Linked DNA regions of Rhinolophus ferrumequinum. The main gene of each other region encodes a partner of the protein of the gene in region 4 in a complex. Links are inferred from orthologs where the notes say so. Each region holds a gene or a part of one and is shown on either strand. Other genes may lie near its edges. The genes, in order: THOC5, THOC6, THOC3 and THOC1.

Region 1 (7,736 bases), on a different chromosome or scaffold from region 4:
TATTTTCAAACAAAATGGGATCATATTGTCCATGCTATTTAGTATACTTTCCCATCACAATAAATATAGCTCTCTATCAAAATGGCTGCATGACAGATAGCCTGTTAAATAAACCAGAATTAATTTAACCGAAATTGGGTGTTTAGATGGTCAAATCAAGCTTCAACAGAGACTGAAATATTATTACTCTCCTAGCGTTTGGAGTAAACAGAACATCTCTTTAATACAGTCAACTAGTTAATAATACTGTATTGCATATTTGAAAGCTACTAAGAGACTAGATCTTAAAAGTTCTCATTACAAGAAATTTTTTTGTAACTATGTATGGTGATGGGTGCTAACTAGACTTATTGCAATCATTTTGCAATATATCAAATAGTGAATCATTTTATTGTGCACCTGAAACTAACATAATGTTATGCCAATTACACCTCAATTAAAAAAGAGTCAGAATCATTGCCCCCAAAAGGATGAGGCCCTTCATTAATCTTGATTTCGTAAATCTGAGGCAAGTATCATTTCCTACTTAAATTTTAGCCCATATATTTCTCTATTCTAGTATTAAAAACAAACAAAAAATATAACCCATCAAATAATTAAATAGTTAAGTCATAAATGAGCTCGACAGATTCAAGGATAAAGAAATAGCAAAGGAGAAGAACCTACTGAGTACAGGAGCCCTCAGGCCGCAGAAGAGGGTTTGCGGGCATGTGGTTCTGGCACTGTCTCAGTAGCAGACAGCGATGCCAAAGCTCCAGTGGCATGCTGCAGATGGACTGCCTTCTTCTGACCACCAGGAACATTGGAGACACACACCATACTAGCATGAATTCTCTGTTCAGGCACTAATCACGTATATAGGCTTGTTGGTTCTCGGGATGCTGCAGCTAAACTTGATGTGGCTACTTTGTAGAGCCAAGTGAATTCTGGGCACCCGGTTAAGCAGAGGCCACCTTGGAGGCTGTCCCTGTGACCCTCAGCTGCTGTAAACCCACAGCCAGGTGCTTGGCCACAAGCTGCAATTTCTCAGCAGCACGGCAGCCCCGGCTGATCTCACCTGCTCAGTGTCAGAACGACTACGCTTCCCTTCCGATGGAGCTCCATCACTTCGGATCACTTTGGGCTTCCGTTTTTTGCTCGATTCTGATGACATGCTTGTTTAGTGAGGTCAGGCAGAAACAACAGAAACCTGTTAAGGAGATATCTTTCGATATTTTCCAGAGTTGGAACTGGAAATTTTCCTGAAGTCAGAATACTTGTGTCTAACTTTCAGTTCTTGCCATTTACACCCTTGGTAACTCAAGAAAAGTAGCTCAACGCTCCAAAGGCTCAGTTCAATCCCTCAGGCTATCCAAAGTGACCTCATCTTCTCAACCTCCACCTCCTTTAGAAGAACCACCTCACGGACCAAACTATTCAGATGCCATGTAAGCCCATTGCCAATACTATTGATAGATAACTGTGCTGGACCTTGATCTAAGCATTTTATGGGTATGTTCTCATTTGATCCTTTTAACAAACCTTTTAGATAAGAACAAGTACCATTTTATAGATGAGAACACTGAGATCAGAAAGGTGAATGACTTGCCCAAGGTCAAACAGCTAGTATGCTAAAGCTTGGGTCCATCGAATGCCACATCAGCGCTCTTGAGAACCACATTATTGTGCTTCCTAGTCTTGCCACTATGTCATCTGGCAATGCCATCAACTCCCTGGTTGACCCTAAAATTTAAAAGAACATTTCATGAAGCTTTGGGTCATAAAGCATCCTCCTTCCACTACCTCTCCTGGTTGTCACCATAGCCCCACTATTCCCCTTACCCCAATGAATCCTGTCACCAACAATTATTGAGGAGGCCAATAGCTCATTGTAGTGGAGTCAGAGAAGCCCTGAGTTGGAATCTCCACTCTCCTAGTTTATGGCCATCAGTCCCGGGACAAGTCAAGTCACTTCCCTTTTCTCTGGGTCTGTTTTCTCACAGATCAATTAAGAATAACAGTTCCTGGGGTGGCCCCTTAGATCAGTTGGTTAGAGCGTGGTGCTAATAACACCAAGGCTGCCAGTTAGATCCCCGCATGGACCCCTGTGAGCTGCACCTTCCTTAAAAAAATAAAATAATAAATAACAGTTCCTACCTACCTCAGGGGTTGTTATGGACATTAACACAGGAATGTCCTCCACTGGGAAAGGTGATGAAGATGATTTGGGAGCGGGGCTTTAGATGGTACATGGATGATCTTACATAATGTTGAACACCTGAGGAGAAAGTTAATCCCTTTTCAATTACTTTTAGAAACTTCAGATTGCTTCAAGGAGACTGTCTCATCTCCCTAGTTTACCTTTAACATCTATGAACACCAATATTCCTTTGTTAACAAAAGGACTGTCTCAGAGCTGTAGACTGAAATCGGGCCCGAATCATTAACAATGATCTGTTTTATTAAACATATTGATTTTTGTCACTACCTTCTGCATATGGCAAGTGAAAGAAATTTTATATTTACGGCAGAGACTTCAATTTTTCTTTTGAAGTAAATTCAAATTTTAAAAGTGACTCGATTAAAAACCTTTAGTAAACAGTCCTACATGGTTGGTTGATATGGCCAAACCCACAAAGGTGAAAGCCGAAAGGCTTAAACGTGGGAAATCCCGACTTTGGCAACACAGTAAAGAGTGCCTGGCATACCTAAGCGCACAATGAATGTCAACTGTTATCACCATTACCATCATCGTCGCGTCGCCATCATCTAGAGGCTACAACGTGGGCCTGACGATGTTGCAGCTACCGCGACATTTTCCACAGAAGGAAACGGCCTGGAACCCCGGGGTTGGTTCTCCGAGGACGGAGAACCCTGGTTGGACTCCAGCCCAAAGACGCCTTCCGCGCTGTCCACACCTCAATCCCAGAGCCCCCCTGCCCGCCCCGCCGCGGTCCCGATCCCTTCCTCACCCCACGGCGCCCGAAACCAGTCCAGGAGAACGAGCCACTTCCCAGGGCGGAGAGACTGTGAGCCGCGCACCATAGAGAAACGGAAGGAAGGAGCGGCCGGCCGGAAGCGAGGCGCGGAGGCCGGAAGCGAAGCGCAAAGCCCGCAGTCAGCGTGCAGTGCAGGCAGCGGCTTGGTGACGTGGGAGCAAGGAGGCCGCGGCACCTGGGTTTTAGGGGAGGGTCCCAACTGCCAACACCCTCGTACTGCCCTCTAAAACCAAGAAACTGAGACTTCAAGGACAAAGATTCTTATGTGCCTTGTTCACTTTTTCCCCAGCGCCTAAAGTAATGCCCAGCAGCTAGTACATGTTTTGTCGTTATTTGTTGTTTGACTAAAGCCCAACGTAACACAAGAGTGTGGTAGTGCCAAGATTTGGACCCTTGTGGATTTGCTTCCATACCTGGAATTTTCTTTTTTGGGTGGCAGGAGGTTTCTAATTTTGATGCTTATTTTGCTAGTTTAACTCGTTTGCTACTAGACAATATAACCTGGATTCTTAAACCATACACATTCATCCTAACATTTCCCACTGGTAAGGGTAGCACGTCAGGGAGGGCATTAACTCCTTAACACTTTTTCCCCCACAGGTGCATCACTAGTTTACCACTTTACGTCCGATTTGCCCAGGGCAGAGTCACAACTCTAATGCAGCATTTGACAGCTTCAGTGTTTTCTATCCCTGGTAGAATTGTGCATACAGGGAGGGTTCAGGACTTACGGTGTAAATCCTACTTATCTGGAGGTGGAAACACTTGGTATTGAATCCCTGGTTATACAGGACAGTTCCTTCTGCCATGATGGGAGGCCCTCCCCATAGTACCCTGGGCAGTGAGGGGTAAACTAGCCAGTTCAAACTGGGAAGCTGGCCCTGCCTTGGGCACCTGCCAAAGTTCCTTGCAGATGAAGAAAAAACAACGATGGTTTATAGTAAACATTTAATTGTTTCCATCAGGAACTCCAGCACAAGTTTTCCTGAAAGGGAGGCAGAATCAAGTTACCCAGAGGTTCATGAAGTATGGGGGTCACGGAGGAGGCTTCCAAAGTCACTGACCCCACTTCACACACCCAGTAGCCCGGCAGAATGAGGGTTGGATGGATAGAATGTGAAGAGGGAGAAAAGGGATGCAGGGGGAGGGAAATATAGGCCCTGGCCCATACCCTTGCCTGAAAGAAGGAAAAGGGAGGACAGGAGACGCTTTGTACAGGGCTGGAACTACATATTCAAGTTTCCAGCCTCATTATGTAGAAACAGGTGAGCCTCTCTGTCTTGTATTAGGAGCCCCTCCCCAAGTGGTCTTTTGTCACCTCTGTTCTATCGTCCCTATTATGTATTCCAAGTTCTGCAGTTCAAACCCTAGTTCTGAATCCTAAGTTCTACTTTCTGGGTTCCTAGTTCTGGGTTCTTGTTCCTGTTCCATTTTGTTTCCTGCCCCCAGATTCCTTCCATCTCCCTTTCCCCAGCCTTTCTGGGTGGAATATATGGACCTCCTGCTGACTTTGCTAACTTGAAGGCTTCCCTCTTTATATCTTGAAGCAATTCTAGGCTTTTCCGCAGCAAGAGGGACATGGTTTAGACTGTCCAGCAAGTATGTGGCCCAGTGGAGACCAAGCAATGCCTGAGCACCTGGCCTGCTTTGACCTCTTCCCTTCCCACCCAAGCTCTAATCCCTGGACACACTACCTTTTGTGCAACTAAAGCTAAACTGAGGGATTCTGTGGTGCTAACTGGGGACTGACTGGTGGCCTTGAGATGAGGAATCTTAAGGAAGATGTGAGAAGACATAAAAGGTTGTTGTTCTTCATTCAAAGGAATTAAAAACTGCTTCCCGCCCAGGGGAAGGAGTGCTGGGGAATGTGGGAACTGTCTGGGCAGAGCTGCAAATCCTCAGAACCCTGTCATCCTTCAGCTCCCCCTTTTCTGAGCTGAACACTAGCCCCCCGAGTCCTCCCAAATCCGAGAGAAAACAAGGCAGCTGGCCTGGGAGCTCCTCTGTCCATGGCTGCCCTGAGGGAGAAGGGGAAAGAGGTGGAGCCAACAGCAGCATCACTGGAGAGGTGAGATCTTCAAAGGAATCATGATCCGAGACTCCATGTGTCGCACCAACGGGACTGTGGAGAGAGGCAGAGGTCACGGATGAGGCTGAGGCGAGCCAACTCCCGAAACTGGCTTTTGAAGGGGGAAGAGGCCTGAGATGCTGAGACAGGAAAAGCCCCAATGCCCTCCTAAATGGCCCATGGAGAGTACCAGGTCTTCCAAACTGAAAGGAGAGGGGACTTAGGTGGTGATAAAATGCAACACTTAGAAAATTTTCATAATTATCTATTTTCCTGTATATGTGAAGAAAAAAAAACCTAGCATAATAAAAAGTGATTTCAGATACTACTGCTCATGACAAAGCTAGTTAGAGAGTCAAGTAGGGGGACTTAAAGAAAATAACTGTGGCAGTCGTATACGGGTAGAACAAAAGCTGTCAGCGGGTCCTCAAGTGGCTGAGGTATGAAACAAGCAGATTTAGTCCAACTGCCTCATTTTACAGATGGGGAGCCTTCAGCCCAGAGCCGGTCAACCCAAGGTCACCCAGGAGGTCAGACTGTTCCCTCCTGCTCAGAGCTATTCAAACTTTATTGTGCATGCAAGTGATTAATACTTATAGTTCTTGTTAAAGCACAGATTCTAATTCAGTGGGCGGAGGAAGGGCTTGAGATTCAGCATTTCTACACTTGATCTTAGCCAAAAGGCCGAGAAGCGATAGAGATTCAGCATTTCTAAAGGTCCCAGGGATGCTGACACTACCATCATTTGGGACCACACTTTGAAGAGCCTCCGGTAAACTTCAGGAGACGCATTCTCCCCTACACCAGTTAAGTGTGGCAGCCCAGATGTAAGCTCCTTAAGGGCAGGCATAGGCTCCTGTTCATGCTGGGCCCCCCAGCCACCTGTCCACCATAGTCCCTGGCACACAGTGAGGGCTCAGTCAACACCTGCTGACTCCAGCTGGTTCTCAGGGGGCCCAGCAAAGTGGCAAACGCTGTAAGCAAAAGAACTGGCTCGAAAAAATTTGCTGTATGCTTCCTTTGTGTCAGTCTGGGCGAAGTTCAGCACTTTTCACAAATTAGCTCCTGGAATCCTTCCTCCAGCCATCCAAGGCAGGCACTCTCGCCATCTTACAGATAAGGAAACAGCCTCTGTGAGGTGAACCAAGCCTGAGGTCACAGTGCTCGCTCACTACCCTGCTTCTCTGAGGCAGGGACCTCCCGGTGGTGTTGTCATCCCCCACAGCACTCACTTAGGGACTCTGGATCATGTGGCGTGTGCCACCCCGATAGAAACCCACTAACTCATTTTATTAAAAGAAAGTTCCTCATCACTAAAGGTAATCAAGTGAGGCTAGCTCTCCTTGCAGAGGAGATTCCAACCTCAGTTAGGGCTCCTGCAGATGACCTCCAAGGGCCTCACGAAGCCCCCAGAGGTGCTTGCTCACCGGTGTAGTAGACATTTTCATCCCAGCCCCTCTTCCTCCAGGCAGCATTTCTAGTTTCCTCCCGAGACTGCAGATCTTTATAGGCTGTAGGAAAGGCATTGTTTCATTCTTTGGGCAGAGGATCTGACCCTGGACCCAGCACAGGGCCCCCCTCCCACGGCCCTTCTCCCTGTCCTGCTGTCTCTTCCTCCACAATGCCTTGGACTGTTAGCAAACACTGTCTGCCTTGACAATCTCATTCGATCAGTACATTTGTTTACAACTCCCAAATTTATATTTCCAGCCAGAAATCTCCCTCAGGCTCCATACTCATGTATCTGGTGCCAACTAAACATCTCCACCAGGGTATGTCAGCATCACAAATATAACACTTTTGAGGGTCAAAATTACACTCTTAAACCCTCCAACCTACTCCTCTTAGGGTCTCAGTAAGCGACATACAGCTGCTCAAACAGGAGTCTGGGAGTCCTGGAGTCCTCTTCTTGCCCCACACAGACAGTTCATGCAGAAGTCCCATTGATTCCACCTCCGAACTAATTAATTTGTGGACTTTTCAGCAATTTCATTGCCACCACCTTAGGCTAGGCCACTACCTCTCCTGCCTGAAGTAGTGTAACCGTCTCTTGATGCCCCAGTGCCTCTCTGCAAAATACTTCCCTGCAAAATGCTCTCAGCAAAGCACATGGCAGCCAGAGAAGTCATATTAGAACATACTATAGGTCATGTCATGCTGCTTAAAATGCTGCAGCAGCCTCCCATTGCACTTAGAATAAATCCCACCTCGTCCCCATAGCCTGCAAGGCCCAGCCTGACCTCACACTCTTCCCCACTCTTTCCACACAGGGCTCGTTTGCACTCCTCAAAACCCTGAAGGCCTTTCCCCATTGCAGGGCCTTTGCACGTGTTGTTCCCTCCATGCAAAGGCCCTTGGAATGCCCTTCCCTAGCAATTCACAGCTGGTTCTTTCTCATTCTTTAGCTGGGCTTACATTTTTACCTCCTCAGAGAGGCCTTCTTTGTCTATTCTAGCCAATGCAGGTTCCCATGCTTTTCTTCATCATCATCATCATCTCTCTCTCTCTCTCTCTTATTTGTAATAATCTGAAATTATCTTTTTTGTCAGCTTACGTCTGAGGTGCTGTGTCCCTCTGCTAGAATATAAGCTGCACAAGGGCACTAATGTATTTGCATTGTCTATGCAGAGTGACAATGGAGAAAGGGGACCAGCAGAGGGCTCCTGAAGGGTCCCCAGCCTACCCCAGAG
Region 2 (7,949 bases), on a different chromosome or scaffold from region 4:
CACCTGGAGGCAAGGGTGTGTGTGTGTGTATGTGTGTGAGACTGACCTGTCCACACACCCCTGGCCTCCCAGGACTCCCACAGCTCCGCGCAGGACCCACCTTGCACTCAGGTGCTGCTGGCTGCTGGTTGAGGCTAAGGCTGAGCAGCCCTGGGGAGGAGCCAGGCACCTGCGCCTTAAGCTCCCCACTCAGCTGCCACTGGTTGACGCACGGGCCCTGGCCGGCTGACAGAATCTGTGGAAGGCAGGGAGGGGATTGAGGGGTCAGCGCTGGAGAGGGGAGCTAGGCAGGGGTGGCAAAATGGAGACAGAGACTCACCAGGTCCTGGTAGAAGGTGACGTGCTTCTGTGGTGCCCGCATGGGGAAGATGGTGGTGGGTGTAGAGGAACGGAGGTGCCAGAGGGTGAGTGCTGGGCCCCCTCCACAAACCTGGGCAGAAAGGTGGGGTCCCCAGCCTCCTAAGCCACAGGCCCTCAGCTGGTAGGGCCTGCAGCTGCCACCCCATCCTGCACTTTGCCTGGCTCACCATCCAGTCTGAGTCAGTTGCCAAACATCCAATCCAGCGCCCATTGTGGGGCCTCGAGCACTCCTGAGAGGGAGGAGGGGAAGAGCAGAGGAGGTGAAGATGCAGAAGATGCCCAGGGAGAAGGCAGGACAGGCATGGGACATGCCCTCACCTCGTGCTTGTAGACCTCGATCGTCTGGACCTCCTTGGCCGAGCGGAGATCTGTGGGGGAAGAACCATGAGAGGCAGCCTACTTCCCCCAGCCTCCCTCACCACCATCTTTCCCTCTAACCAGAGTCCCTTACCCCAAAGCCGCACAGCCCCGTCCTCGCCACCTGACAGCACCTCGGGGCTCCGCTCCCGCAGTGCCAGGCAGTGGATATAGTCTGTGTGGCCTCGGAGAGCCCTCTGCAGGAGAGGAACAGTGTCAGGACAAGATCCAGAAAGAAGGCCTTCCCCCACCCCACCGTGACTGCCCAGCTCCACAGCCCTCTTACCGTGAAGCTCCCTGTCTCAAGGTCCATCATATGCAACTGGCAGTCTCCCCCTGCCAGGATAAGCGCATTCTCCTGCAGAGGAAGACAGAGTGGGGTCAAATCAGGACAGGGACAGGGAAGGATCACAGCTTGGGCCAAGAACAGGGCAGGGTAGAGACTTAGTTACAAAGGGTTCAGACCTTGGGGATGAGAAGCAAAGCATTGATTTCTGGTACTTCCAGGCTGGTCCTGGGGGAGGGAAAGCAGGGTCAGCTCTGGTGAGGCAGCACCTCCACCCCCACGTGCCCTCTGTCCACATGGCCCTGGCTCACCTGTATGGGGGCTGACGATGCCACAGCTCCTTGCAGCCCTTCATGGAGGAAAACAACGAGTGACCTCAGAGGTTCTCTTTGGAGTTGGATGCCCCAGTACCCCTCCTCCAGCTCGACACTTCTTACCTTCTTGAGGATCTCTGCCCACAGCCAGGCCTTCACCTCCCCATCCCCAGCGCTGAACATATGTCGATCAGTGGAGACCATGCAGTAGACCGGCCCATCGTGGGCTAAATGGAAATGCAGAACCTGAGCGACCCCGTCCTGCTCTCCTCCTCTACCCTGGGGTCCTCTAAGCCAGACTCAATGGCTGCACCCACCTTGGAAGGTCACTGCGGGCTTTTTACTTTCCTCTTTGGCCTCGGAGCTCAAAGCAGCAGACAAGCTGAAAGGAGAGGGGAAGAGGGTCTGAGTCAGAAACAGGGGACATCAGTCCTGGGAGAGCCAAATGCCAGAGCTAATGGGTTGTGGGGAGCAGAGGTGAGGGTACCTGAAGATGGCTATCTGCCCATAATTGTTGCCAGCTGCCAGGAACTTCCCACAGGGTGAGACACTCTGGGAGAAAATAGTCATGTGCAGCCGCTGTAGGGCCTGAAACACTTCCATCTGTGGGGAGAGACTAGATGAAGGCAGTCTGGGACCTCTGCTTCACAGAGTCCTTCCTAGTTTCCGTGCCGCCAGTTCAGCCACTGCCCAGACTTCTCCACCCTCCTCTGAGGTCCACCAAGGTGGGCACCTGCCCATACAGTCCCGGGGCTGGCTCGAAGAAAAGGTAAGGAAGAGGGGAGTTGAGGCGTGATGCCTAGTAGGACTTTGAGCAAGCACCCTGTGGGGACAGAGCCAGGAGTACAGTTTCCAGGCTCTCGCCCTCACATGGAAAGGTGCTCACTCGGGTAGTAAATGGCCATCAACTGTGACTGGATGGCCATCAGCTATGGCTAGTTGGCCGTCAGCTGTAACCAGTGAGCCATTGGCCACTAATATAACTGCCGTGGCTATGCTAGCAGTAAATGTGGGCTAGCAAGAAGATGGTGGCTGAGCTAGCAAGCGCAGATTACAGTTGGCACGGCGAATTGCAGTTAGTAGGGCAGATTGCAGCCAGCAATTGTGGTTGGTTGGTTGGCAGAGAGAGAGAGAGAAGCGGACAGCAGGTTGCAGATCGTGTGGATCCTGTTTCCTGTGTCTCCAACCCATTCGCCAGCGAGACTATGGTAGTATGACTCCCCTATCTATGGCTCCGTGGGTGTTCCTTTTTGGCCTCACCATGTCCTGCGTTCTTATGAGGGGAGGGGGACCAGAGACCCCGCATGACACCCTGCATAACACACCCAACCTCTCCTCAAAGTTCCCTCAACTGTCAAATGAAGCTCACAGGACATTCTGTCATGACTGGATGAACTACTGTATATAAAGAGCTTCACACAGTGATGCCTCCTACAAAACGCATAAACAGTGGCTCTATTACCCCAATACAGAAAAACATATTGCCTTCTAATTACTACTCTCTGACTTTCACGTTAGGCCCCTGTGGGGCATGGACCACAAACCCCAGAAGGCACCGCGCACACGCCGGTCTCACCTGACCCAGCGGCACCGCGTGGGGCAGAGCTCGCTCCATCTGCAGAACTACAAGTCCCAGACTGCTCCGCACGCAACGCAAACTCACGAGTCCGGACGTGCCCCAAAGCGGCTCACCGTCACTGAGCTTCACCCGGTCAATACCGCCAGCCGGCTCGGCGCGAAGGCGGCCGCCGCGTACCACCAGAGTCCCAAGAGCCGCAGTGACCGCCGTGAAAATCTCCGACACCAAGTGGCTCCCACCGCAGCCCCGCTACTCCAGATCCCCTCCCCCACCCGGCGAATGGGCCCGCCTTCCAGCCGCTCGCCGTCCGTCTTTCGCGCCTGCGTGAATCTTGCTGCTGCGCGCGCCTAAAGCCACGCCTCCCGCGTTGGGCCACGCCCTCGGAGGCTCCGCCTGTCGTCCGGATCCCACCCCTCCGCCCGCAGGACCCCGAACCCCAATGATCCTTCAGCAGCCTCTGGAGCGAGGCCCCCCAGGTCGGGCCCAGCGTGACCCGCGGGTCGCCTTGGGGGCGCCTCGAGGCCTGGACGCGAGGTGTGTGTGTGGGCCCTGGGTGGGCCTGGCCCAGGGGCGCTGGAGCTTTGGCTTGGGGCTCAGGGCTGGTCTGCAGGATGACGCGATGGGGCGAATCAGCAGAGTTTGGGCATGAGCTGAGACGAGTTTGGAGACTAACGAGGCAAGCTGCTGAATGGCCCGGGAGAGTGGGGGTGATTTAAGTGTCAACTGAGAGGGATTGGGTGGGGGTTCCTGGCTGACGTTGCAGGCTCAGGCCGGCAGATCTTAGGGTTGGGGTCAAGAGGGTGGGGTGCACCTGGTTCTTTTTTCTTCCCAGCCCCCCTCTCCAAGGAGCTGTGCCCATGAGCACCAAACGGCGCCTGGAGAAGGAGCAGTGAGTTTAGGGGCAGGGAGGGACTCCCAACAAGACCTGTCACCTCAGGTCCCCATCAGCCTGCCTGCCTCCCGGTCTCTCCCTAGGGAGCCCCTGCGCAAGCAGTTCCTGTCTGAGGAGAACATGGCCACTCACTTCTCTCGACTCAGCCTGCATAATGACCACCCTTACTGCAGCCCCCCTATGGTTTTCCCCCCAGCTCTTCCCCCACTCAGGTAGGCACCATTCACTAGCTACCCGCTAGGCCCTCTGGAGAATCACGCCCTATCAGAGCCAACCTCCAGGGCCTGCCTCATCCTGCTATTTTTAGTTTCTAGCCAACCTCTGTTCTCATCTTGGCTCCTTAGAAGGCGCCTGCAGCCCAGTAGCCCCTGGGGACCTGAACCTGGTGGTGGGTGGCTCTGCCAGGCCAGCCTCAACCCTGTGCCCTGTCATTTCCTTTTCCAGGAGCCCTTGCTCTGAGCTCCTTCTCTGGCGATACCCTGGAAACCTGATCCCTGAGGCTCTACGGATGCTGAGGCTGGGGGACACCCCTGCCCCCCACTATCCTGCAACCCCAGCTGGGGATGTAATGGAGCTCTGAATTCTGGCAGACAGTACCCCTGCCCACCCTCCTTCTCTCCAGTAGGGGAGACCAACACCCCCATGAAGGGACCAGCTGCCCTGCTTTTCCTCCAGACCAGGCCTCTGGGCACCAGAACCTTCCCCCAAAAGAGGATACTGAGCCCAACAGAACCCTGGGGTGGGAGGGCCAACAGCATGGGAATGGAGGCATGCCCCCCCCCCCCAGAACTGAATAAAGATTGCTGAACAGAGGAAGTCTTCAGTCTGGAACCTAGGGCCTTTGGGAAGAGGGGGCAGAGCTGGGGCACTGGATAGTGGGGTTTCTCCTCAAGATCTTCCCTGGAAAACGGTCAGGGCCTAGCCAGGTCCTGGCAGTCGAGGCTCAGACATTGAGAATGTGTGAGTCAGAGCCTCGCCCCCGCCCCCGCGGCTGACTCACTCCTCCCTCCAGCTCTGGGAAGTCAGGCTGGGGATCATGCCACTCTTCGAACCATTTAAAGTTAAAGATTCTTTTATTAATAAATTCTCCCCCCTCCAACCTTTCTCCCCAAAATAAATATCTCCCCCCCTTTGAGGGTTGGGGGGGCAGTGTCTTAGGGCCAGCCCCCCTAGAGGGCCAGCCCCCTAGTGTTAGGAACAGGTCCCTAACCCCCCAGGCTGAGACCCCAGTGCTGGAATTTCAGCTCATCTGAGTGGGTAGGGCCTGGTGTTGTGTCTGTCTGTCAGGTCAGACTGGCTGCCAGGCCATGGGAGGGGGGACCCTTGTGCAAATGTAGCAGTTCCTTAGTGTCAGCTGTCTGGTGTGAGCCAGCCTAGGTCTCATTTTCTGTCCTGGAGCCAGAGGCAGGGCAGTCAGACACCTTGAATGAAGGCTCCTCTAAAGTCTGGGTCCAGGCCTCAGAAGTGATTCACCCGTCCCTCATCCCTGCCCACCCCTGTGGTTGGAGCAGCCTGGCTCAGGGCTGTGTCTGGGAGGCAGGGTCTGGCTCCAGAATGAATGAATGAATGATGAGTGGGCGTGGCCTCCTGCTGGCAGGGGATGCTCATTGTTACTGGATCAGAGCCACACCGGGACAGCCCTCCCCGCCGGTCTCCTCTATGGGGGCTGCAAGATAAGAAGAGGGGTCGTCAAGAACAGGGAGGACGGTGGGGACTGATGGGGTGGGGGGGTGGGGGCACGCGGGCAGGCAGGCAGGAGAGCCAGGGCACACTTACTGGTAAACTTCTCTCTCCTGCGGCACCGTCTCCAGACCAGGAAGCCGGAAAGGAGTCCCAGCACAAGGGCCAGGCTCAGGGCTCCCCCCAAGATGGGCCACAACAGCTGGAAGGTGGCTGGAGGGGCCGCAGCGCCTGGGGATAGGACTCGAAGTCAGACCTCGCTCCTCTCTGAACCAGCCCCACTCCCTAGATCTGAGCCACGAGTCCCCCCCTACCAAGACCTCTACCCAGATTGGAGGCCCTCACTCCCGCCCCCCTCCACATTAATTCCCCCGATCTGAAGTCCCCTACTCCCCTCTACCCCAGCAACTCTCTCCCCCAGTCTGGGGGTCCTCTCGCCTCTGGCTCCGCCCCCCACTCACAGCCCAGGCAGAAGTCGCTGTGCGGTCGCGCCGGGCACGACGCGCAGTCCATGCACTTGTCGAGGTCTGCACTCCAGGAGCTGCCGCGAGAGCAGGGGGTGGTGCCTGAGGAGGGGGCCACGGGTCAGAAGCTGGGGGCGGGGCGTGACTATTCTGGGGGCTGAGGTCAGGGTCGGCAGGCTCGAATAACGTGAGTCACCGGCGCCCTCCTCCCGCATTCCTCACAGGTGACCGCACGGCCCGACCGGGACACGGCTGCGCGGGGAGTGGGGGGAGAAGGGGGGGCGTAGCGCGGGAGGTCAGGTCCCCACAAACCCGCCCGCCGCTGGCGGGTGACTCATTCCTGGGCATCGGGCCCGACCCCGGTCCCTCCCCCCGCATAGCTGGGCACTGAAGTCACCGGATGGAAGGGGGCACCCCACATGTGATGGGGGCACAGACCCCCGTGCCTCTCGACACCCCCTCCCGACTCTTCGGTCACTGGGGCTGGGCACACCCGGTATTGACCAGGATGGGGGCATGTCCCCTCACCGGACGAGACATCCCGCCCTCAAACTTTCTCCACTTCCGAGTCCAGACTTTAAAGACAGAGAGGTTCCCCGAGTTGGACAGGCGGGAAATTGAAGCCCTGACGGGATGAAGCTCGGAGCGAGATGGGACCTCCCCTGACCAGGGAGTGCGTTGTCTGGAGACCTGACCCCGGATCCCATGTCCCCCTAGTTCTGCCCTCTCCGCTAAGCCCCCAAGTCGACTCCCCGATTCCCGGCCGAGGGTTCCCCGGCCCCCACGCCCTCCTGCCCAGTCCCTGCTCGTCGCCCGGCGTACCTGGCACCCGCTCCCCCGCCACAGCGCACAGCAGCGCCAGCCCGAGCCACAGCACCAGGAGCCGCAGCAACGGGCGCTGGAGGCCAGGAGCCATCGTTAGCGTCCCGCGGGCGCTGCCTTCTGCTACCGCCGCTGGCCTCGGAGACCTACAGCCCCAGCCCCGCCCCCGCCCCCGCCTTCCGGGGCAGACCCCTCGTCTGGGCCCGCCCAGCGGCCCGCCCCTGGGCGTCCCGCCCCGCCTGGCCCGCTAAGTTCAATCGTTCGCTCTGCAAACACCGTCCTTGTGCGCGATCTTCTAGGACGCAGTCCTGGCTGCCCTCTCGGTGCTCAGGTCCGGGAGGTGTGTGTATGTCTGCGTGAGTGTGTGGGTGGGTGGATCAGACACGAAACCACCCACTGACCCATTGCAGACATAACTGCCGCTCTCTTAAGAGCCCCGGGGTATAATAATAAACGTAACACAATGATGTTTAATTTCTACCTTAGGACATAGTTACCTAGTAAAATGCGGGCTTGTTGTCTCCATTTTGCAGAGTATGAAACTGAGGCTCGGGAAGGTTAGGTTAATTCCCGAGGTCACAGCAGTAGGACTAGTAAGTGGCGGAGCGGAGACCCAAGCTCCACGCCCTGCGCCTAGACTTACCGCGGGCCCCGACGCCAGCCACTGATGTCCTCGCACCCGGGCCAGCTGCAGACCCTGCAGCCCCAATCTCGAGCGCCCCCGACTGACAAAGTTGGGATTCGCGCTCCCGCGGTGGTCTGGAATGGGGTCTCTGCCCCTCCCCGGGGCGGTGGTCCAGTGACGTCACTGCCTCTTTAAGACCCTGCCTCCGCCCCATCCCCGCACTCCGCCGTCTCTTAGGAATCTCCGCGGACTCCTTCCTTCGCAGGTGAGCCTGGGGCCAGTGTGCGTGTCGGGGTGAGGGAGGAGATGGGTGCCTCCAGGAGCGGGGTGCTGGGGGTGTGGCCTGCTGGAGAACTTGGACTGATCTGGCTACCGCCACCCGGCCGACCAACCCTCGGGCGCGGGGCTGCACGGAAGCCGACGAGCAGATCGAGTCCTGCGACTCGAGAAGGGTTAAATGCTCCTCCTTCCCTCCCCTGGGACAAAGGCACCGAAACCTGGGCTCCCCTCCCCCACCTGAGCTGCTCTCTGGGGCGGGCGCCCCTCCCCCTCACCTGCTGGAGCGGACCC
Region 3 (6,956 bases), on a different chromosome or scaffold from region 4:
GGGAACGGGGCAGGGAACATTTCAAGCTCAAACCACAAGGAGGGGTATTTTCAATTGTTAAGCTCTAGGGCAAGGAGAGGCGAGGTCTCTTTTGTGGGGGTCCCAAGCGTAGATAACATCTTTTAAAATGTGTATACATTTTTTTGGCATGCCTGGTATAAATAAATACATATATAAAATTTATATGAAAGATTGTGAATTTGGCATGTGTTTTTACAAAGGTGCGATCATAGACTACATATATTCCTCAGTTACTATATACTTTCTTGCTTAGTTCATCAGGGCAACCCACCAGGTTTGTAACTACAGATACAACTTGATTTTTTAATAGCAACAGAGTTATCCGTAATATTGATATACACATTTATTCACTCTTCCTCCACTGATGGACATTCAAGTTGTTTTCAAGATTTTTGTCATTAGAAACAATGCCATCGTACAGATTCTCATAGATTCATCCTTAGATTATCAGGACTAGGGTCACTATATCAAGGGATATGTATGTTTTTTGTTTTTAATGTATAAGGCCACGTTACTTATTTTAAAAAGCTGTGTGTGGACCTCATTTGGATCTTGATTCAAACAAACTATAAAAAGAAGTATGACATTTATAAGACAATTGGAAATTTGAACACTGACTAGATATTTCATTACATTAAGGAATTTTTGTTATTTTTAAGATGTGATAATGGTAGAGATACATACTGAAATATTTATGAAAGAAATAATTTGCTTCAGAGAACTTTCTTGGAATAATCCAGCACAATCCAAATCCTGTGAGAAGCTTCCCCTTTGAGTCCTCTTGCTGAGGCCTGTACAACTCCTCTGGAGAACTTTCCTTTCTCCCTTACTGCAGCAAGGTGCATAAACCGAACTTTTCAAATACGGATGTGTTCCTGGAGGCCTTTGGTTGGTGGACTTGGAAGCAATCTTTTCAAAGTTTATTGTCCATTTGGATTTCCTCTTCCTTGGGACATTTTCCCAGTTCAGTGGGGCGTTCTGACATTTTCTCTTTTGTCTGAGAGTTGTCCCATTGTTTGCCTACCCCATTCTTCTCTAGGAGCCATATGTACTACTTCTTAGAAGAGGTCAAAGTTAAGGATTCTCGTTCAGGTTGGATCACCCTAGGTTTGATGGCATTAGCAAGAATTTTCAGGATCTTTTCCGCTCACCAGTAAGGCTACTGGGTGGTGAGGTTGAAGGTAGGAACTGAGCTAATTTGGATCTCTCTGTTTGCTCCAGACAAATCTGGTTATTTTCTTGGGCACCTGTCTAGTTTGGCTGATGTTCATGATGTGTGTGAGTGCGTGCGTGCGTGTGTGTGTGTGTGTGTAACATTTATTGCTCATCTCATTAGGTATTAAAGGAGAAAAGTCATCATCTTAACTCAGAAGTCTGATATTTATATTAGATTTTGTTTTATATATTTAGAAGCTCTGATATGAGACAAAATTTCAGTAACTCTTAATCGTTCTTTTATTGATATGAAATATCACTATTTGTCCATTTTAGTGCTTTTCATCTTGAATTCTACTGTTTGTTACATTAATATTGTAACATACATAACACAGTCTTTTGTTTGGTGTGCTGGGAAAATATTTTGATCTTTAAACCCGTGTGTTTTTACTCACTATGTAACCCTTTCTCAATTCAGATGACTAGACTGTGAGTCATTCTTTGCCTTAGAGGAGATCATCGCAATGGAACCAGAATACAAAAGAAGCAAATTCTTGGTTTGTGAATGTCAGAGCTGTAGCTCAGGTGTAAGACATTCTCAGCCAGTTTCTTCACCCTCAGAGGAGAGAAGCATCAAGTCACATTCTGTTTGCCCTGTTCTATTTCCTTAGGTGTTACTTCTCTCTTTTGTAATGTGTGGGGTTTCTCATTTCTGATGTTAGAATTTTCCTCAAACATTTTGTTATTCTTGGGTTGGGTGTTTTCACTTAATTTTTGAAGTTTCCTCGTTAGCCCACATGTGAGTGCTGGATTGGTTTATGGCATTTCATTGCCAGTGATTTCAGGAAAGTGCTTTGCTGCTGGATGGGCGGGGGGTGGTATGTTAGTGTCTAGTCTTCTGGAAATGGGGACAACCACAGTACATGTCATCTACTAGTTTGCTTCTCTGGTTGAATCCTGACTGACACACCACCTATATGTTGAGGCTTTGCCAAGGGTGATTTCTTTAGCACCAATAGCTTCTCCAAAGTCTCCCACCATCAAAGGACTTATATGTCAAATCCCCCTCCTTCCTTATCTACTCTTCCTTCACTGTGGGATGTCTCCCTCACCCCCTGAAAATTCCCTCACACATCCTGTTATTTCTGACATTATTATTTATGACCTGATTCTGCTGTGAGTGATCCTAAAGGTCCTAAGACTGCCATATGTAAAAACATCCTTCAGAGTTGCAGCAAAAATCAGCTCCTGCAACGTGGTAGGCGGGACTATAAAAATGGACTATAATGGGAGGGAAAACTAGACACCAAACAGTCTCCTACCCCAAGAATTTAGTGACTTCATTGGTATTCTGTGGAGTCTAAAAGGCTTTGAAGTCTCTAAGAATTTCTGGGTGTAGTGCGGTAGGGAAGAGAATTGGGAAAAGAAAAGGGGCTCATTTCCTTAGGCCCTTTGTGGAGCTATGCACGTGCTTTATATGTGGACTCATTTAGTATTTAGGACCTCATGACACTCCCCTAAGCTTCTGGTGGAAATGCAGATTGTTAGAACCTCTTCACAGGTTTGGCAATGTTCAAATAAAAAAGCGCATATGTGCACGATAAAGTTTGTATAGGGACATTCACTGCAGTATTGTTCTACAAGCAAATTCACGGGCACCAAATGTCCCTGAAGGGGACCAGTTGAATAATCAGTTGAATATGGATGTATAAATGATCATTAAAGACTCCATCCATTAAGAATGAGACTTCTGCATATACTGAGAAGAAATAATTTCTTACATGCATTTATCATAGAAAGCAAGCTATGTAAGGGACGCTACCGAACCATTTTTTTTTTTGTGGGGGGAAGGGTATGAACACACTGGTATACCACTTCCACTATCTCTGGAAGTGCACAAAATAATTTGACAATATTTTTCTCAAAGGGAATTTGGGGACACACGAGGGAGGGAAACTTACTTTTCACTCTATTCTTTTTTGTGCGTTTTACACTTGTTACCAAGTGTATGCGTCCTTAAATATTTTTTTAAACTTTTTGAGATAATCGCAAATTCACAAAAGATTTGCTTTTAAACAAATTTCCAGCCTCCTCCTCACCATCCAAAATCTCCCTCAGCCCACAGCCCTTCTCTAGCTGACAGCTCTCCATTGGTTTCTTCAGCTGGACGCTGCTGGACCTGTGGTTTAAGGTAGGGATGTGAATAAGGCCATTTACCTTTTTACTCTGTATCTTTCATATTTTTTGCATATATAATCATGTACCTATAGTATCTTTTAAAAGCAAAGAACTTGCTTATTTAAAAAAACCTCCGGACCCCTTCTCACACCCTGCTCCCCCCAACCCCCTAGCCTTTTACTTGGGACAAGCTCACCAGCTGGCCCTTCTCCAGCAAGAAGTCAAGGGCGTTGTGCTTTGAGGGCGACTGAGGGGTGGGCAGCAACCCTAGAAAAAAGTATTCTGCTGATGGGGAACTGAGGTTTAGAAGGATAGCGTTTGTTTCCGTCTTCGATCACGCAGGGACACAAATATAGCTACCAAGCAATAGGTAAAGGTTAACTATGAAGCAAATTTAAAGCCGAATCACTACTGTTCAAAAAAAGCAAAGGACGCAGCGCGCTGCATGCCGGGATTGGTGTTCCCTTTCCAGGTGGGCCATACTGCGGCTGCGCAGAAGAGCGACAGCTCTTCCGAGCGCATGCGTGCGGCGGCAGCGGCGGCGGCGGCAAGAGTGACTGCCGTGGGGTGGTGGCGCCCGCGCGGGCTCCAGGGGGCTCGGCATGGCGGTGCCCGCGGCGGCTATGGGGCCCTCGGCGCTGGGCCAGAGCGGTCCCGGCTCCTTGGCCCCCTGGTGCTCAGTGAGCAGCAGCCCGACGCGCTACGTGCTCGGGATGCAGGAGCTGTTTCGGGGCCACAGCAAGACGCGCGAGTTCCCGGCGCACAGCGCCAAGGTGCACTCGGTGGCCTGGAGCTGCGACGGGCGCCGCCTGGCCTCGGGGTCCTTCGACAAGACGGCCAGCGTCTTCTTGCTGGAGAAGGACCGGTTGGTGAGCTTTCAGGGCCTGGCCCAGGCCAGGGAGGGGGGGCTCTGGTGCAGCGGTGAGGCGAGAATGGCGGGGAGGGGAGGGGAGGGGAGGGGAGGGGAGGGGGGGGGGGGCGGAACGTGGGGGTGTCGGGATGAACGGGGTGTGGTGGAGAGGAGGAGGGGGTCGGTAAGGGGAAAGGGGGGATGTGTCGGGGGTGCAGTAGGAAGGCGTGAGGATGAGGGGGTGGAGGCGAGAGGGTTCCCACTGGTGGGGAGGAGGCTGAATGGGGCCGGGGTGCGTGGGGGTGGGAGGGGTCGGCAGGAAGGCTGCTGGTGGCTGGCGAGGCACCGTGTCCTGATGGGGGCGCTGTCGGGGTGACGAGGGCCCCTTTGACTCCGATGGGGCCTCCGGTGGGAATGAGCAGGGGCGTTCCTTGGTAGCGAGTCAAGGTGGAAAACCAGAGAGGAGGAGGAAGGCAGGGAGGGCAAAGAGGAAGGCGCGATGTGGCACCTAGTCTCAGTCAATGGAGAGCGATGGGGAGGGAGGAGGATATTGGGGAGAGTTTTGGGGAAGAGGCTTGGCAGGACTGGGCTTTTTAAAACTCTCCAAAGTTTTGTTGGTCTCCAGATACCTTGGTTTGAATAAAGTGAAGAAGTTTCACGTGGAGGCAGGTACATATGTGTGAAGGGACATCCGAACTCTGTTCTTTCAGGTTAAAGAAAACAATTATCGGGGACACGGGGATAGTGTGGACCAGCTTTGTTGGCATCCAAGTAATCCTGACCTCTTCGTCACTGCATCTGGAGACAAAACCATTCGCATCTGGGACGTGAGGACTACCAAATGCATTGCTACTGTGAACACAAAAGGTGACTTCAGAGGGAGGGCAGTAGGAAGATAAGCGACTTTCATGTATTCAACATTTTCCAAATAACTTTTCTGTGCCTGGCCTTGTGCTACGCATGGGACATCCTGAGCTGAAAAGACGGCACAGTTCAATGCTGGGAGAGACATATGCATAAAAAAAAAAAAAAGGCAACTAACCTAATCTGACATGGCTCATTGTATAATGGAAATGTCTACGAGGTGAATACCCAGAATGGAAGTGCTTAAGTCTTCCCTGGGGGAGACAGGGAAGGCCTCACAGAATTTGAGCAAACTCTTACAGTAGACAGAGGAATTTGGTGGTGGAGGTATGGTGGGAGGGTGGGGCAGCTCTAAGGAGGGAAGAGTGTGTGCAGAGGCGTGGAGAATTTGGAAAACTGCTGGTCAGCTAGAATGGCTGAAGCTTGGATGGTCCTGGTGGTCTGGGAGAAAATGACCTGAAAGTTGCGCGGGTTATTTATAGACTGTTCTTCATCAGATATGGTCCTGGAAACCTTGAGGTCATTTATTATATTATATTGTCTAAGATGTCATTGATTATAAGATGCACCAGTATTTTTAAGTGCAATTAGGAATGAAAAGAAAGCTTCCAAATAACCATGTATACCAAACATTCTGAGATGCATTTGATGCATTTTAAGATGCATTATAGATAATAAAATGTGAAAAAATATACATCTTAGAATCAGATAAGTTGGTGACATTTTTACTGGATGTGTTCAGTGTGGGCCACTGGACTTTGTTGACAAGACTTGTACCTGTAGGTGGAATGAAGCAGTGCTTTCCCCACGTATACAGTGGGTGATACATGAGTGATTTCGGTGGTATGTGGATGAACATTAAAAAATGGTTTTGTGTATGTTTTAATGTCTGTTAGAAAAAAAGAACCAGCTCATAGAATTTATTGCTAATGAAAGCTGAGTTTTCTGAGCCAATTTTTAAAAAGCTCTTCAATAAAGAAAAACATAGTTGTTACATGGATAGGACAAAATTTGTGAAAGTGGCATGTGAACGACCGGAGTTTGGGAAATGCTAGTGTTAAGAGAATAAATTTATGTTTAGCTCTTGGCTCTATTACTTCACAGCTTTGACAGTTTGGCTCATTGTTCTTATCTTCCGTTTCTTCACCTGTAAACTGGGGATAGTAAAGTGACAGTAGAATATTGTGAGGACCTCATGGGGAAATTTGCAGGTGAATGGCGGTTGCCTTCCCTGGACTACGATCTGAACGAAGGCGCTCTGGCGAGCTCTCTGGTCTTCCTTCAGGATAACATAAACTTCTGGAGGATTAGGGGCAAACAGGTCATTTTACTGATTCACCCGGTTTCCTAGGGGAGAACATTAATATCTGCTGGAGTCCCGACGGGCAGACCATTGCCGTGGGCAACAAGGATGACGTGGTGACCTTTATTGATGCCAAGACACACCGTTCCAAAGCGGAGGAGCAGTTCAAGTTTGAGGTCAATGAAATCTCCTGGAACAACGACAATAACATGTTTTTCCTGACAAATGGCAACGGTTGTATCAACATCCTCAGGTGAGGGGGTCCTCGCTTAGGGGACGGTCATATCTTTAACAGCTGGGTGTTCTGGTGGATACAGAGTGAATTAGATGTGAATCTGTCCTGAAAGCGTAAAGGACAAATGGTGACAAAGGATCCTGACCTCTGTTGAGCGCCTTTGAGTCAGGCACCTTACGTTTTCCTGGGTCCTCACAGAAATTCTAGGGGTGGATGGTGTGCTTTCCATTGGGTAGGTGAGGATCTGGGATTCACAGAAGTGGAGTCACTAGTCAGCTGGTGGGCACTAGCGCTGGATGCACCTTGAATTATGGCTAATTTGTGCGCTTAGAAGCTCAGCTTAAATATTA
Region 4 (6,988 bases):
GGTGCCCGACCAATGGTAAATCGATTTTTCACGTTTGATTAAATTTCTCTACTGAAGTTGGATAGGCTCTATTTATTTTTTTTAAATGCTGATGAGAAGGATGCATACTGTAAAAAATGATAGCATGGAATCCTAGTTTCCATGTTGAATGTCCCTGGACTAGATCTTTTGTGCAACTACAGAATGTGTCACTGTCTATATAATAAAGCGAGAGGGCCCATTTTCAAATTCTAGTTCTTGCCCAGGAACACCTCACATCAACTTGGAAAAGGTATGAGTTCTTATACTCTTCACTTGGAGAGGGTTCTCTTCATCTAGTAAAACAAAGTCTTCTAATGATTTAGCATCCGTGCTGTCAAAATCCTTAATTATTACATAACTTCTATACTATGATATAGTCAGCTTTCGCAAAGTAGCAAGCTCATGCTAGAAAATCATATTTAAACACTCATTCTAAGAATAAAAGCAATTTAAAAAAATAACAGAATTTATTAATTTGCCAGCAACATTTTAACAATAAAGGAAAACATACTTACAATTTCTTCTTCTAGAACACCTCTGAAAGCTTGGTCAAGGGTACATTTTTTTTCATTTTCACTATTGAAAACAAAAGACAAGCTCCATTTTTTAAACAGCTCAGGGTAAGTATAAAGATTCAGGCAAGCATGTTTCATGGATACTAATGCCTTACCTGCCAGGTAACTGGGTGAAGGTATTCAACAATGGTTTGATATTTTTGTTGTTCAAGGCCTCTCTGGTAGACTTCTAGAAAAATAAATATAGCAAGTAAGTGGAAAGATTTTTGCTTATTAATTACTGAAAAACATATAACTCATTAAATCTAAAAATGTTTATAACCGGGAAAAATTATCCATCAGTCATTCTATCGGTAGTTTTTATTCAAATGCCACTTACTGACATATAGACTCTCATCATGTTAAACCTGGAAAGAATTTCCTAGCTAGACTTTCTCATTCCAATTTTTCCCTCCTACCATCTCTTTAAATATCATAGTCATGAGAGTATTCTGCTTTTAAAAAAAAGTCTCCAAATGGCTCCTCATTTACAGACGTTGGTTTTGAAGTCTGATAGCTCCTTCTCAAGGTCCTTGAGAAGGTTATCCCACTCAATCTATCCAACCTTATTACCCACTACCCTCTAACACATACTCTCCACTAAGGTCAAGCCATTTTTTCCCTATTTTTCTATCAAGTACACTCTAGTGTATTTACACATTCATGTTGTTCTTCCCACCTGCTTATGCAAATTTTATCCATTCTTCAGGACTCATCTCAAGTCAGACTTCCTTGAGTGAGATAGCTTAGCTTGTTCAGCATAGTCCCTCACACATAGTAAACTGAACAAATACCTGCCGATTGTCTTAGTCATAATTGAAAGACAAAAATACTGAAAAGTCAATTCATTCTGTGAAAATTCACATATGATTCGAACAGTCATCTTATTACCTCACAGGAGTTAGATGGAAATGTCCATTCCTGACTCTGCCAAAAATAGGCTGTGTCAATCTGGGCAAACCCCTTAATGCTTCATTTTCCTCACCAGTTAAATAAAGGGTTGTTGTAGATCCTTACTACCAGTAGCAGCAGTGGAATTACCTGGGAACTTGACAGAAACGCAAAATCTCACATCCCATTCCAAGCCTACTGAATCAGAATTTACATTCAACAAGATCTCCAGGTGATCCACCACACACTGAAGCTGGAGAAGCAGCAGACTAGATGATCTCCAATTAAATGGCCCTTTCCAGGATTAATGTGATCTTGGATTGTCCTAACAATTACTCTTAGAATTTCAAAGCACCAGTATTACAGCAAAATGCCCAGAAAGAAAATCATTCTGATAACATAAACTAGATATAATCTGGTATTAGAAAAACAAACTCAATATTCTATGAGGAAAAAAATAACCTGCACACAAAAAACTACTTACTACAAAGAATCAATTTTCTTTCACAGAATTTTCATTCTGGCATCACTATAACTATGTAGGCAGTTAAATATGTGAGTAGCTGAATGATGACTTGAAACATTGGCACAAATGCTAAAGACAAATAACAGTCAAATAACTTAGAACAGGGGTTCTTTGTGCTGGGTGCTGTATGGGTAACAAAAAAAGAATACTGGCTTTGAAGTCAGAAAAAAAACAGTTTAGTAAATCACTTAACTTTTCAGGGGCGTGTGTCTCATTTCTTTCTCATCTACGAGGGGATAATAAAACCTAGCCTACTTCACAATGCTAAGACTTAAACATGAAAACGCTCTGTAAGGTGTTTCTCAAATGCTAAAGCTACTCTTCTCCAATATGTAGGAATAAATGACATCTGACAACCCTTTTCAAACTGCTCTGTTTGTCTTTTCCCACTTAGGATCTCTTAGGAGTGAGACACTGAGGGTTACAGGTACGGTGAATAGGCAGCCGGAACAAACCACCTGGCAACTAGGAGGCGGGGCGGGAGCCAGTCCTCTGGGCTAAAACCACTCCCGCCCTCCTCTTTCCCCAGCTCGCTTCCAGTTCTGGAGACACCTGCCCGGCTAAGCGAGCGCTGCAGAGGAGCTGGACCGGACGAGAGAGAGTCTGAAGATGAGCCCTTCATGCCGGCGACCAGAACGCGGAATGGAGGAGGCGGACCGCAGAGGATGCGCGGATGAGGCAGGTACAGCGTCTTTTCCACCTCCCAACCCCCGAAGCGGCCGGGAGCCAACGCTGCGGCTTACGCACCTCTGTCTCCGCTTTACCTCAGAGCAAAAGTCCAGTAATTAGAGAGGAGGGCAAAGAGAAGCGCCGGGTCAGGCTTGCACCCTCCCGCTTTCTGCTCACCGTAAACCGCGTCCGCGCTTCGGGTAAACTGAAGAGTGGCGGTGTCGGAGACATCTTGGCTGCGCGTGCCCGCCACCGCGCTGCGGCGCAGGCCGATGACGTCAAGCCGGGAGCAAAGAGATTACCGGCTGCGTACGCTGCTGGAGCGGCGTGTGAGCAAAGGGGAGGGGCGGCTGGCAATTAGGAGCTTCTGTGGAGGTCAGGTGGGCGTTGGAAGCCAGAGTCAACCACACAATGCCCTGTCCCGGTTCGTGGGTAACCTTTGGGGTGACGGCATAAGGGCGGGGCCGCGCCCTGTGAGCTCTGCGCTGCAGGGCGGGAAATAGGTCCTGACGCGCACCGCCGTGGTTTTCCGGGTTTGGGGAAGCCCTAGGTAGCTTAACGGGCGATGCGGGAAGGTAACCGCTGCCCGAGAATCCAGGACAAGGAGGTTATCTAGGAAAGCACCAGGCTGGGGAAGTGTTGGCAGTGGCGGTGGGTCGCGGACCGCGGTCATGCTCCAGGAAGGAGTAGTCTCAGCTCCCGATTTCTGTATCAGCTCTGTAGTTCATAGGCCTTGTAGCAGCAGTAGTTCACCCTTCTGTGAAATAGAATCAGTACTTTCGTATTTTGCCGTGTGCTCCTGTGTATAATGTGCACCCACGTTTTTGGCCCAAACTTTCAGGGAAAAAAAATCTTTCGTTTACATTTTTTAATTCAAATTGTTATTTGTTCACATTTAGGTACTTGTTTTTTGTATTATAAAGGAATTTTAGCATTTATATTTTTAACATTATGGTATAAGAAATTTTATGTAACAAATAATTACAAAAAATAAGAACAGATACAAGGTACGAGAAATTTTATGTACCGGTAACAAATTTACCATATTTATGTATCACAGAAGGCCAAGAACTCTTGGTCGTTGCAAGTTCATCTTAAGTTCAACAAAACTGATTATCGTATTCCAGGGTATTATTTTGCATATGGATATCGTTATTGATTTCTAGAGTTACAACACTTCCAACTCATAAGCATAAATGAATTAAAAACATATAGATACGGAATTAGTACTACCCATGTATATTGCACGTCCTTATTTTTACCTCACAAATTTTTGGGGAAAAGTGCACATTATACACGGCAAAATATGGTATATCTGTCACAGTGCTGTTGGAAAGCGTGAATGAAATAAATGCAAGTGTGGCATACGTAGCCATATAAGACTTATTGTTATATCTTGGAATTGTTAACTTGGTGGCCATATATAGGTCTCTACAGAAGGAGAAAGACCTTGGAGGAATGCAGTGTTTGGCGCTGATAGTAAAATGGGTGGCACTGCCTCCAGGGTAGAGGCACCCCTGGCAAAATCCTGCGTCCTCGGCAGTTTCCTCCCTTGTCTCCTTTCACTGGAGAGGCTTGGCCGATGAAAAGCCAAGTAGAAGTAACTTTCTTAGTTGGAATGATGCTGTGGGGAAGGAAGTTATGCATTGACCCAAACACAAACTTCCTGCCAACTCTTCTTCGTTTCCACGTGTAACCTAATGATGAAAGCTAGGTGTGCTTTACCTTGTTCCCTTCATTGACATTCAAAGAGAATGTAGGAAGCCAACAAAAAGATAACTTTGCATAGTGTTGCCTGTAAGTGGGAATTGTGAACAGTGATGGCTGGAGCACTGTTGTCTTTTTTTAGAATCAACAGAATCATTCAGGTTTGATGGTATAACAAGTCTCAAAATTGGCAAATTAAACTGGTATTAACTGATTTAACAGGTAGCTGATTAATAGGATTATTATATTACAGAAGATTATTAACTATCAAGAACACAACTAAGAACCAAGAAAGAAATGCAGTTATTTTTTACAAAACACCAATCATAAGAAGAGCTGGACTCATCCATCAAAGCCCAGTGACTTAGAATTCTCTTTATTCAGCAAAAAAGTCAGCAAACATTTGTTGAGTACATTATACACAATACACAGTATCTGTTGAAAGAATGATATATGAACAAATGAACAAAATAGTGAAGCCTAATTCCTATTTTGAGAAACTTTTAGTTTGGTTGACATAAAAGAAACAAACAATTACAGTGTACATACAATTTCTATTATAAATACTTTCGATTATAACTGCTGTAAGAGATTAAAGGAGAAAGCAATTGCTACCATATGAGGTGATCATAGAGCCCTCAAGGAGAAGATAGAATATGAGCTGGACCCAGAAGGATTCCAATAGACAGGAATGGGAAGGGATGAAAAGGAAAGATATTCCCAATGGAGAGACTGGTATTAGCAGAAGTGTGGAAGGGAGAAAGCATAGTGAAAGATAACTGTTTTACTGTAACATTGGATTCTGAACAGAAATAAGGCTGAACAGTCAAGTTGGAACCAGATTGTATTAATGTTTGAGGCCAAAGAATGTTTAAAAATGGCTTTTACACTTCCTGCCAAGTTATAGCTGGCAGTATATTTGGGAGGAAGGAGAGAAATGAACTGCTTTGCTGCTGAGTGCTGAAACACCAGATAAAGAAACAGTAGGAAAAAAAGTAACAATCTTCAGAGAATAATGAGGTGTTACTGTTTAATGGGTACAGATTTCAGATTGGGATGATGAAAAAGTGCTGGAGATGGATAGTGTTGATGGTTGCAAAACAACGTGAATGTACTTAGTACCACTGAATTGTACACTTAAAGATAGTTAAAAATGGGTAAAATACTAAATTTATCCATCAAAAATCACTACAGTAAAAACATTTTAACATGTAGATCACTTTAATTAATACTTTATAATCCCCAAAGCACTTAACATTTAGTACCTCATTTGCTCCTCTAAGTGATATTTGAAGGTGGGTAATACAACTGTTATGCCATTTTACACATAAGGAAGCAAACTCAAAGAGATGGGGTTCTTGATAAAAGTAATTGGCAAAATGAGACTACCCGGGATTTCGATTCCAAATATTGTACTCTTTACACTGTTATACTGTTGTAAGTAATGCTTACGTTTTATTGAGCACCTTCTATGAGCCAGACGCTTTTCTTGTATTACTTCTACTCCTTAGAACAACATTATACATAGTTATTTATCAGTGAGGAAACAGGCTCATCTGTCACATGACTAGAAGCTTGTTTGAGATTTGAGCCTGGCTTTAATCCCAAAGCCTGTATTTTTCTCAGGTCTTAACTCTTGATTCTTTACTAACCCATGGGGTTAGTTATTGTTTCAAAAATTATTGCCTTGCTGTTGGCTAAGAGTGAGGATCATACTGTCATCAATAACACATTATGAGTTTTTTAAAAGAATGTAATAATAACACTCAAAAGGTGACATCCCGTAACATGTTACCTTTTCACTTAGATTTATTGTGCACTTGTTTTTCCTCTTATGCTAGTGAGGTAAGATGGACCTGCCTCTCTGTTAGGAAATACTCTCCATGGGAAATTCTAGGCTGGGTGATTTAGATAATTTCTAAGTATTCAGCTCTTTATTCCTCTTCTTTTCCTTGGTGTGATCTTAGTTGGATTCAAGTTACCATTGAAGTGGTTAGATCTAGGAGAAAAGGACCAAGGGGGCAGCTTAGTCTGCTTTTGTTCTAGTCTTTATCCTCTAGTCCTGGCAAAAGGAAACTTTTGGCTCCACGCTCACTAGTCAACCACATTAGGATGTTAGATTGCAGTTTCTGCTGGTTCCGGTTCTGGGCCTTAGCCATCTTTCCCTTTCTTTCTCTCTGTAATTTGAGTGGATTGAAAGAATAATATTGACAGGGAATGGATGTTTCAGTGGCAAAGATGAGCAAAAAGAATGAGACATCATTGTTGGGAAAGGAATGGAATTGGGAAGAAGAATAGTAGAAGAGGGATGGCACTTTGTGAATATTGTTGTGGAAAAAGAGGAATTACAGCACCCATAAAAACTAGGGGTGCTGTATTTTTGCCACAGTGGTGGCAACTTTCAAGCATTTTGTATTAGTGTATTATTCATTCATCACATATTTATTGAGTGCCTGTTATCTGCCAGTCACAAGTACAATATTGGATTATATATGCAGTATGATTATTTTATTAAATCGTTAAGTACTGTGTATATAATTATCTAGTATACCTGGTAAAATCTTGTTTGGTGAGCTTGGTTGGACCACACAGATGAGCATAATTCAAGGTGAGAAATAGA

The links.
Region 1: the proteins of THOC1 (region 4) and THOC5 are in contact, whole or in part, in a cryo-EM structure (PDB 7APK), measured with the Homo sapiens proteins. The link is inferred for Rhinolophus ferrumequinum from reciprocal best matches to the Homo sapiens genes THOC1 and THOC5. Residues at the interface, in NP_005122.2 of Homo sapiens: Glu60, Arg145, Arg146, Leu147, Ser148, Ser150, Gln151, Lys285, Met286, Leu289, Val296, Tyr297, Phe298, Leu302, Ser304, Leu307, Leu310, Gln311, Ser313, Asp314; in NP_001002877.1 of Homo sapiens: Tyr52, Arg113, Lys120, Asp124, His127, Leu128, Gln131, Asn132, Leu134, Tyr135, Glu136, Met138, His139, Thr145, Lys146, Glu149.
Region 2: the proteins of THOC1 (region 4) and THOC6 are in contact, whole or in part, in a cryo-EM structure (PDB 7APK), measured with the Homo sapiens proteins. The link is inferred for Rhinolophus ferrumequinum from reciprocal best matches to the Homo sapiens genes THOC1 and THOC6. Residues at the interface, in NP_005122.2 of Homo sapiens: Ser227, Pro229, Ile230, Asp231, Tyr232, Leu234, Arg236, Val270, Ser273, Tyr274, Asp309, Leu312; in NP_001334633.1 of Homo sapiens: Leu57, Ser58, Ser59, Glu60, Pro312, Glu313, Lys315, Thr330, Asn331, Gly333, Tyr334, Ala336.
Region 3: THOC1 (region 4) and THOC3 share a complex: the UniProt entries of both Homo sapiens proteins name them as parts of the transcription/export (TREX) complex. The link is inferred for Rhinolophus ferrumequinum from reciprocal best matches to the Homo sapiens genes THOC1 and THOC3.

Annotation. Positions count from the first base shown.
Region 1 is NC_046308.1:18,919,241-18,926,976, forward strand, and holds the start of THOC5 (THO complex subunit 5 homolog), read right to left. Parts: upstream 3,090-7,736; 5' UTR 2,952-3,089; intron 2,946-2,951; exon of another isoform or gene 2,295-2,945; intron 2,258-2,294; 5' UTR 2,141-2,257; exon of another isoform or gene 2,137-2,140; intron 1,723-2,136; exon of another isoform or gene 1,589-1,722; intron 1,190-1,588; exon of another isoform or gene 1,155-1,189; 5' UTR 1,154-1,154; coding exon 1,058-1,153; intron 1-1,057. UniProt on the Homo sapiens protein: Component of the THO subcomplex of the TREX complex which is thought to couple mRNA transcription, processing and nuclear export, and which specifically associates with spliced mRNA and not with unspliced pre-mRNA.
Region 2 is NW_022680357.1:4,524,629-4,532,577, reverse strand, and holds the start of THOC6 (THO complex subunit 6 homolog), read right to left. Parts: upstream 3,026-7,949; 5' UTR 2,933-3,025; coding exon 2,894-2,932; intron 1,921-2,893; coding exon 1,805-1,920; intron 1,700-1,804; coding exon 1,635-1,699; intron 1,545-1,634; coding exon 1,441-1,544; intron 1,353-1,440; coding exon 1,315-1,352; intron 1,232-1,314; coding exon 1,183-1,231; intron 1,076-1,182; coding exon 1,004-1,075; intron 915-1,003; coding exon 812-914; intron 729-811; coding exon 679-728; intron 591-678; coding exon 528-590; intron 431-527; coding exon 320-430; intron 236-319; coding exon 101-235; intron 4-100; coding exon 1-3. Other genes in the region: HCFC1R1 (host cell factor C1 regulator 1), read left to right, coding at 3,336-3,430, 3,729-3,785, 3,872-4,000, 4,233-4,368; TNFRSF12A (tumor necrosis factor receptor superfamily member 12A), read right to left, coding at 5,399-5,454, 5,565-5,699, 5,930-6,034, 6,755-6,848. UniProt on the Homo sapiens protein: Component of the THO subcomplex of the TREX complex which is thought to couple mRNA transcription, processing and nuclear export, and which specifically associates with spliced mRNA and not with unspliced pre-mRNA.
Region 3 is NC_046307.1:40,249,186-40,256,141, reverse strand, and holds the start of THOC3 (THO complex subunit 3), read left to right. Parts: upstream 1-3,861; 5' UTR 3,862-3,956; coding exon 3,957-4,223; intron 4,224-4,914; coding exon 4,915-5,071; intron 5,072-6,419; coding exon 6,420-6,624; intron 6,625-6,956. UniProt on the Homo sapiens protein: Component of the THO subcomplex of the TREX complex which is thought to couple mRNA transcription, processing and nuclear export, and which specifically associates with spliced mRNA and not with unspliced pre-mRNA.
Region 4 is NC_046302.1:16,794,403-16,801,390, reverse strand, and holds the start of THOC1 (THO complex subunit 1), read right to left. Parts: upstream 3,056-6,988; 5' UTR 2,893-3,055; coding exon 2,839-2,892; intron 766-2,838; coding exon 692-765; intron 598-691; coding exon 537-597; intron 1-536. UniProt on the Homo sapiens protein: Component of the THO subcomplex of the TREX complex which is thought to couple mRNA transcription, processing and nuclear export, and which specifically associates with spliced mRNA and not with unspliced pre-mRNA.